2 linked regions of the Ovis aries genome follow. The protein of the gene in region 2 interacts with the protein of the main gene of each other region in a pairwise test. Links are inferred from orthologs where the notes say so. Each region holds a gene or a part of one and is shown on either strand. Other genes may lie near its edges.

What was found.
Region 1: the proteins of TACC3 (region 2) and KIZ interact in binary tests that used the Homo sapiens proteins (3 or more experiments, as listed by UniProt). The two-hybrid records come from large-scale screens. The link is inferred for Ovis aries from reciprocal best matches to the Homo sapiens genes TACC3 and KIZ.

Annotation. Positions count from the first base shown.
Region 1 is NC_056066.1:40,043,474-40,047,809, reverse strand, and holds the start of KIZ (centrosomal protein kizuna), read right to left. Parts: upstream 3,059-4,336; 5' UTR 3,008-3,058; coding exon 2,901-3,007; exon of another isoform or gene 2,725-2,900; coding exon of another isoform or gene 2,660-2,724; intron 714-2,659; exon of another isoform or gene 1-713. UniProt on the Homo sapiens protein: Centrosomal protein required for establishing a robust mitotic centrosome architecture that can endure the forces that converge on the centrosomes during spindle formation. Required for stabilizing the expanded pericentriolar material around the centriole.
Region 2 is NC_056059.1:117,511,003-117,514,804, reverse strand, and holds the end of TACC3 (transforming acidic coiled-coil-containing protein 3), read left to right. Parts: intron 1-20; coding exon 21-109; intron 110-203; coding exon 204-408; intron 409-574; coding exon 575-679; intron 680-1,062; coding exon 1,063-1,139; intron 1,140-1,448; coding exon 1,449-1,492; intron 1,493-1,873; coding exon 1,874-2,034; intron 2,035-2,569; coding exon 2,570-2,676; intron 2,677-2,799; coding exon 2,800-3,064; coding exon of another isoform or gene 3,065-3,108; 3' UTR 3,109-3,257; downstream 3,258-3,802. UniProt on the Homo sapiens protein: Plays a role in the microtubule-dependent coupling of the nucleus and the centrosome. Involved in the processes that regulate centrosome-mediated interkinetic nuclear migration (INM) of neural progenitors.

The sequences.
Region 1 (4,336 bases), on a different chromosome or scaffold from region 2:
GACGTACTCCTTTACCAGTTTGGGACCAGTCTGTTGTTCCATGTCCAGTTCTAACTGTTGCTTCCTAATGTGCATACAGATTCCTCAGGAGGCAGGTCAGGTGGTTTGGTATTCCCATCTCTTGAAGAATTTTCCACAGTTTGTTGTGATCCACACAGTCAAAGGCTTTGGCATAGTCAATAAAGCAGATGTTTTTCTGGAACTCTTGCTTTTTCGATGATCCAACTGATGTTGGCAATTTGATCTCTGGTTCCTCTGCCTTTTCTAAATCCAGCTTGAACACATGGAAGTTCACAGTTCACGTACTGCTGAAACCTGGCTTGGAGAATTTTGAGCATTACTTCACTAGAGTGTGAGATGAGTGCAATTGTGCGGTAGTTTGATCATTCTTTGGTATTGCCTTTCTTTGGGACTGGAATGAAAACCGACCTTTTCCAGTCCTGTGGCCACTGCTGAGTTTTCCAAATTTGCTGGCATATTGAGTGCAGCACTTCTACAGCATTATCTTTTAGGATTTGAAATAGCTCAACTGGAATTCCATCACCTCTACTCGCTTTTCGTAGTGATACTCCCTAAGGCCCACTTGACTCTGCATTCCAGGATGTCTGGCTCTAGGTTGGTGATCACACCATTGTGATTATCTGGATCATGAAGATCTTTTTTGTATAGTTCTTCTGTGTATTGTTGCCACCTCTTCTTAATATCTTTTGCTCCTGTTAGACAAAACAGAATCTCACTGCTCTACTAAACAAACAAAAAAAATCTCCGGCCTTACTTTACCTCAAAGCCCCTATCTCTGGTGATGAACAGGTCAGAGAAGCTGAATGACCAGCTCAAGGTCACATAACTATTCATGGACTAGAACCTTGGTTTCTACATTTTTCCTGCAGTTTTCTCTGCCTCCAAAGTTATTTGCCTCTGCGTTTATTACCTATGCATTAGAGTTAGTTAGGGACTTTTAAAATGAAAAATGAATACCCACAGTAACAGATTTGTACTGACTCAAAAATGAAAAAAAACCTCCAAAGGCAGAACCGTGAATAGGCTATAAAGCATGACTCAGATTCCTTATATAATTTCAACAGCCTCACCTTGCTTAACAGTGCAACCATTAAGTATTAAACATAAAGTGAATAATAATCGTTACACAGTTATCATACCATAAGGACTATAAACGGCCAGGTGTTCTGAGCACAGGAAACAAAAATGATAACTCACAATTAACTTCATTTTTGTTTTAATGGTATCATTCAAACTAGTAACATTTTAAAATTAGAACCTGGGTTAAGGGGGACTTCCCTGGTGGTCCAATGGTTAAGACTCTGCACTTCTAATGCAGGGGTTGTGGGTTTGATCCCTGGTCCGGACCACATGGTAAGACCAAAAAATTAAAATAAAATAAAAATAAAATTAGAACATGGGTTAAGAGATACAAATAACTCAAGGCCTGGGGTAAGGAAGCCACTCTTAACAATGAGCCCTTTAAGTGTATGATGCACAGAGCAATGTTTTGTCTCTTAATTATCAGGTGTGTGCATTTAATACCATTTTTGAAATATCATGATGCCAGTTTTCCTGATTGACCGGAAAATGGTCACTATTTAGTGGTAAATGAGTGGCTACTCAGTTCTACATAACATTCACAACTCCTGGACACTAGCTGGTTGACATTTCTACTCATTCAATAAACATGTAGCCAGTCCCTCTGCCATTTCAGGTACTCTAACATGAGCTGAAGGTCCAGCTCTATATGGCTCCTGTCCTCCTGGAATTCTCAGAGTAGGCAGGATACGAGTCACTTGATGCATTACCTAGAAGTTTTGAAGAATGTGCATAAGTCAGGAATTGGTTGATTCACACTTGGCACAGGGAAGGCACTATAAGAAGTGATTTTTTTTTTTTTAAGTTGGAGGAGAGGTGAGTGGCTGGGTAGGTGGGCAGTGGTATGTCAGAAAGAAAACAGGATGTAGAAAAGGATTGAGAGTTAAACAAAATAAATAATAATAAATTAAAAGGTGAGGAAGATTAAGGAGGCCTGTTGCAGATGCTCTATAAATAATATGACAGGAATTAAATTTAGCATAGGATGAATACAATTCCTTTTCAAAACCAGTAACTTCTGCCTTTACCTTACATGTAACTATTGTCATTTCAGAATCATCACAGTGCGCAGCACCCCTCTTCAGTAAAATGACTCTGTAACTTTTAAACACTCATTAAAGGTGCTATTTATCAAGAGATCCAAAATTCTATTTCCTTTCTTGTCGACTAATGAGATTTCCAACTCCGATTAACTTAGCAGCTAAATAATAGCTTCAACAACTAATCTTTTATGTAGATATTTATAGTAAATTGCTGTGTAATTTTCTTTCTTTACAGTGATCAAGCGGTTTTCAGTGATTCTCATCTTTTCATGTCTTAAGCAACGTATCACGAACCATCTTAAAGTCGGGACATCTCCCGCTGGAAATTTGGCCCTGTAAAAAGTCTCGTGCATTTAAACAGGGCGCATGTTTGACAAACACACACACACACACACACATACTCTCCCGCCTGCGTTCCTGGGCCTGTCATCACCGAGGGGGTGCAGCTGTCAGGACTGGATGACAACCTGAAGGGCTGGGAAGGGGGCGTGTGGAAGGGGACCAGAGAAACTCACACGCTTTGATTGAGAGTGACAGGCAGGAGACTCCGGCTCTCACTTCTGGGAGCATCCAGGGACATTCCCGCGGGGGACCTCCCACGGAGTGGGGGCAGTGTCTCCGGTAAACTCAGTCCTTGGGGAGTTCGGGGGACAGGGCTGGTCTGGACTCCGGCCCAGGGGAACCGTGGTCGGGGGCGGGGCTCCCATGGATCCCGGGGCCGGCCGACTCCCCGCCCCCGCCCCAGCTAGGCCGTACCTGTCCCGCAGCCCTTGCTGGAGGTGGGCCACCTGCTCGTAGTAGTCGGGGCTCGGAAGCGCGGAGGCCCCGCGCGTCCCGCCGCCGCGGCCGCTCCGCTCAGCCATGGGACGGTTGGGGTCCTGGCTGTCCCCGGCGACGGCCCCGACATGCACCGCGAGCCGACACGGCGCCCAAACGCCGCGCAGGAGGCGGGGCTCGGCTCCGTGGAGGGGCGGGGCAGACGGCCAGGAGGGGCGGGGAGCGGCGCCGTGAGGGGCGGGGCAAACAGCCTTGGGGGCGGGACGCCGTGCAGGGGCGGGGCAGACGGCCAAGAGGGCTGGGGCGAGGAGCTGTGGAGGGCGGGGCACACCCCTCGGGGTCGGGACGCCCTGCAGGGGCGCGGCTGACGGCCAAGAGGGGCGGGACAGACGGCCAAGAGGGGCGGGGCGCCTTGGAAGAGGGCGGGCCGAGTCTGCACGCGGGTGGTGGAGAGGCGGGCTTGTAACTTGGTGTCCATGGCCTCACTGCACTCCCCCGCCCCGAGACTGGGGCTTTCCTCTCCTCTAGCCTTTCGGAGTTCTCTTGGGAGAGACCCTGGCCCTCCTTCGGACGGGGCCCCCTTCTCTGAAGGCCAGGTCTGAAGATGACCTCTGATCCTCGCCCCTCCACAGGTAGAGAGGATGGAGCCTGGGCTAGAGTAATCCCATGATGGTTGTATTTTGCGGGGGTGGGCATCAAACTGCTTTAATTTGACTAGGTGCATACAATCCTTCCCTCCCTTCTTCCCAGAATTTGCTGAGTGTTGGCATCCCTAAGGGCGCAGCGGGTAAAGAATCCGCCAGACTTGCAGGGATCCAGATTCGACCCCTGGGTAAGGACAATCCCCCGGAGAAGGGAATGGCTACCCCCTCCCACTTTCATTACCTGGGAAATCGCATGGACATAGGAGCCTAGCAGGCTGTATAGTCCATGGGGTAGCAAAGGGTCAGATGGGACTGAGTAACTAACACTCTTTTTTCAGTGAATGGCCTAGTGGTTTTCCCTACTTTTTTCAATTTAAGCCTGAATTTTGCAGTAAAGAGCTCATTTTCTGAGCCACAGTCAGCTGCAAACATAATCTAATTTTGATATTGACCATCTGGTGGGTGATATCCATGTGTAGAGTCATCTCTTGTATTGTCAGAAAAGGGTGTTTGATATGATCAGAATGTTCTTTTGACAAAACCCTGTAAGCCTTTGCCTGCTTCATTTTGCACCCCAAAGCCAAACTTGCCTGTTATTCTAGATATCTCTTGACTTCCTACTTTTGCATTCCAATCCCCTGTGATGAAAAGGAAATCTTTTTTTGGTGTTGGTTCTGGAAGGTGTTATAGGGCTTCATAGAAGTGGTCAGCTTTAGTTTCTTTGGCATCAGTGGTTGGGGCATAGACTTGGATTACTGTGTTGTTGAATGG
Region 2 (3,802 bases):
GACCCTGCCCCCCCTCTTAGTTTAAAGAGTCAGCCCTGAGGAAGCAGTCACTGTACCTTAACTTCGACCCGCTCCTGCAGGACAGTCCCCGGAGGCTGGCACCCAGCAGGTACGCCCCACTGGTGGCAGGGGCAGGCAGGGGCGGGGGCTGGGCCCGCCTGGGGGCCCATTTGGTGAGCAGGCGTGCTCCTGTGTGCCCACAGCAGCGGCGGGCAGCCTGACGGGCCGCGGGGCCCACCTGTCCCGAGCACGGGCCTTCTGACCTCCGAGGAGTGCCCCGGGCTCATGCAGACGGCGGGCAGCTTCTCTCCCGGTCTCTGTGCTCACAGTGTGGACGCGCCTCCCTCTGGAAGCCCTCCGGAGGCCCAGCTGCTCGACCTGGACTTCCCAGGAGCCCCTGGCGTCCCTGTAAGTGCCTCCTCTCCTCTGCTTTAGAGACAGGTGTATACTAAGGACCCGGCCTCACGGGGTGGGTGGGGGCCGACGCACTGCCTCTGGCCGCGCTGTGCTGTGGGGAACCGGGGGGTGGAGGGCCACGCAGGGGAGCTCACGGCCCTGCCGGTCTCTCCCGCAGATGCCTGGCCCGCCTCCGTGTGGCCTCGGACCCGGGGCTCCACTGCTGCCGGTGGGGCCGATCGTGGACGTGCTGCAGTACAGCCAGAAGGACCTGGACTTGGCGGTGAGCATGCGGGCGGGGCGGGGGTGGGCAGCATCACAGGCTCCACTCGCTGCGCCAGAACCGGGTGGTCCGGCAGCTGGGCGTCCTGTTTCCGCCCCCACGTGTGTCATGGAACCCGTAGCATGAGGGTCTGCGCCGTCCCGGGAGAGCGCCCCCCAGCCTCCTCACTGGTGAGGGGACGAGGCCGGGTTGATGTCTAAGGTGGTGGAGGCCTGGGCTGGACCCTGCGGCGCCCAGCACCTCCCACCCGCCTCAGGCTGCCCCGCCCCCCCCCCGCCCCTCCCGTGCTGGGAAGCGTCCCCGCGCAGGACGTCCACCAAGTGGGGCGGGAGACGTCAGCGCGGGGAGCGGCCCTGGGCCAACGCGGGCGTGTGACCACGCAGGTGGAGGCCACGCAGAAGGAGAACGAGGTGCTGCGGGGCAAGTGCGCGGCGCTGCAGGAGAGGCTCCTGGAGATGGGGTGAGGGCGGCGGCGCGGGCGCGGGCGCGGGGCGCGGCGCGGGCGCGGCGCGGCGCGGGGCGCGGCGCGGGCGCGGGGCGCGGCGCGGGGCGCGGGGCGCGGGGCGCGGGGCGCGGCGCGGCGCCCCCCTCCACCCCTCCCCTCCACCCCTCCACCCCTCCACTCTCCTCCCACCCCTCCACTCTCCTCCCACCCCTCCACTCTCCTCCCACCCCTCCACTCTCCTCCCACCCCTCCACTCTCCTCCCACCCCTCCACTCTCCTCCCACCCCTCCACTCTCCTCCCACCCCTCCACTCTCCTCCCACAGGAAGATCATGGACAGCTTTGAGGGGACTGTCTACCAGGTGATGGGTGAGTGCCGCCCCCTGCCCCCTGCCCCCTGCCCCCTGCCCCCTGCCCCTGCCCCCTGCCCCCTGCATCAGGGGTGGGGGTGGCAACACAGCGGGCAGGTTGGGTCCCTTCCCTGACGCTGCAGTGTCCACCCTGCCCTGGGGGCTGTGCGTCCCCCGGCAACCTCCGTGGACATTGGGCACTAGCCGTGTCCAGGCTGGAAGCCCCGAGTGTGGGACAGGCCTGGGCTCACTGCCAGCTGCCTTGGTTTCTGGGCGGAGCTGGTGTTAAGGAGACAGCTGTTTTCTGGGCATTTGGAGCCCTAAGGGTCCGCCCTGGGAGGTCCCGAGAGAGGCAGACACCCTGCCGCCCGCCAATCCGAGGTGCTGGTCTCTCCTCCAGAGGAATCTCAGAAACAGAAGGAGCTCGCCAAGGCCGAAATGCAGAAGGTCCTGAAGGAGAAAGCGCAGCTGGCGGCCGACCTGCACTCTATGGAGAAGTCTTTCTCCGACCTCTTTAAGCGGTTTGAGAAGCAGAAGGAGGTGATCGAAGGCTACCGCACGGTGGGTGCTGGGCCAGCCTGGGGCCCGGGGAGGGGCGGGGGCCCTGCAGGAGGAGGGGCTGAGCATAGCCCCGGTGCGGAGCCTGGCAAGAAGCGAGAGGCAGGCCCGCAGGTGGGGCCCGGCTCAGCCCTGCCTCTGCCTGCACCCTGGGCTCTTGGCTTGTCACCTGCAACAGGACACGGTGCCCTCGAGGCGTCCGTGTGGGCCTTCGCGGAGACTGCGGGCCTGTGCTGGTTGCTGCGCTGTCCCCACCGCCACGCGGCAGGGCACCCAGCCCCCAGAGCCCGGGGCTCGGGGAACGAGACAGGCTGTTCCAGGGCCTGGTGCCTGACCCAGGTTCCCCCACAGTGCCTGGACAGAGCCCCCGTGGCAGGGCCCTGAGGGGCGGGCAGGGTCCCGGGTGGGGGTCAGGGAGGCCTGGGCTGTCTGCAGGGAAACAGGCGGGCTGCTCCCACGTGGCCTTTTCTACGGCTGCTCCACGAACCCCCAAAGAGCTGGGCCTCGGCTCAGGGCTCAGCGTCCATCTTCCTCCCAGAATGAAGAGTCTCTGAAGAAGTGTGTCGAGGATTACATAGAGAGGGTGGAGAAGGAGGCCCAGAAGTACCAGGCGCTGAAGGCCCAGGCGGAGGAGAAGCTCCAGCAGTGCGTGGGGAGGCGGTGCTCGGTGGGGTCAGGATGGGGGCGCGGGGCTCGGGGACGCGGGCGAGCAGGAGCCTAGGGGCGTCTGGCCCGCCTGCGGCTCAGCCAGGCCCTCTGCTGCTCCAGGGCAAGCGAGGAGATCGCCCAGGTGCGCAGCAAGGCCCAGACGGACGCTCTGGCGCTGCAGGCGGTCCTGAGGAAAGAGCAGATGCGTGTCCACTCCCTGGAGAAGGTGGTGGAGCAGAAGGTGGGTGCAGGGTCCCTAGGCCAGCAGGGGCGGGGGTGGGCAGCCCTCGCAGCTCGGGAAGGCTCGGGGGCGCCAGGCTCCAGGCACTGCGGGAAACCCAGGGGCGCAACTCTCCTCTTCAGACTAAGGAGAATGATGAGCTGACCAGGATCTGTGATGACCTCATCTCCAAGATGAAGAGAATCTGACCCGGCAGCCCTGACCTTGCTGTCTTCCCTCTGTGTGTGTGTCTGTCTGTCTAGGTTTTCCTTCTCTACTGACGTCGATTCTTATTTCAGTTTGTTTTTAAACTAGGTTGCTTTCGGAAAAAACTAAATAAAGTTTCTCTTAAATCTAAGCAATAGAGCTGTCCTGGCCTTCATTAAAGGGGCAGTTTCTGGCTGATCTGACCACAGCCGCTGTCCCTTCGATGCCTTCTCTCCGTCCCTGCCCGCACCTCGCAGCTGCCCGGCCAGCCACCAGCACCTCCTGGGTGTCGGCTGAGCGGGCCCCAGTCCCCCAGTCCCCCAGTCCCCCTGGCCAGCCACGTGGTGCTGGGGTGGACGCTGTCTGCATCAACCACAGGTCTCGCAGACCAGTGCCTTCGTGGAAGAAAGGCAGCCGCGGCAGGGGTCGGCTGTGTCCCAGTGAGGGCTGCCGGCCCCGCAGTGGGACGCTCACAGGGGTGGGGGGTGTCATGACCGGCAGTTCCCAGCTGCCCCCCTCCTGGCTGGAAGCCCCCAGTCTCCTGAGACCCAGGAAGACGCCGTGCGTGGAAACTCAAGGGCAAGGGGTCTCCACAGCAGGGGGTCTCCCTGCAGAGCCCTGCCAGACATTCAACGCTCCTGACGGAGGAAAGGCTCAGAGTCTGCACCCCCAGGGCCAGGGGCCTGCTCCCCGGGA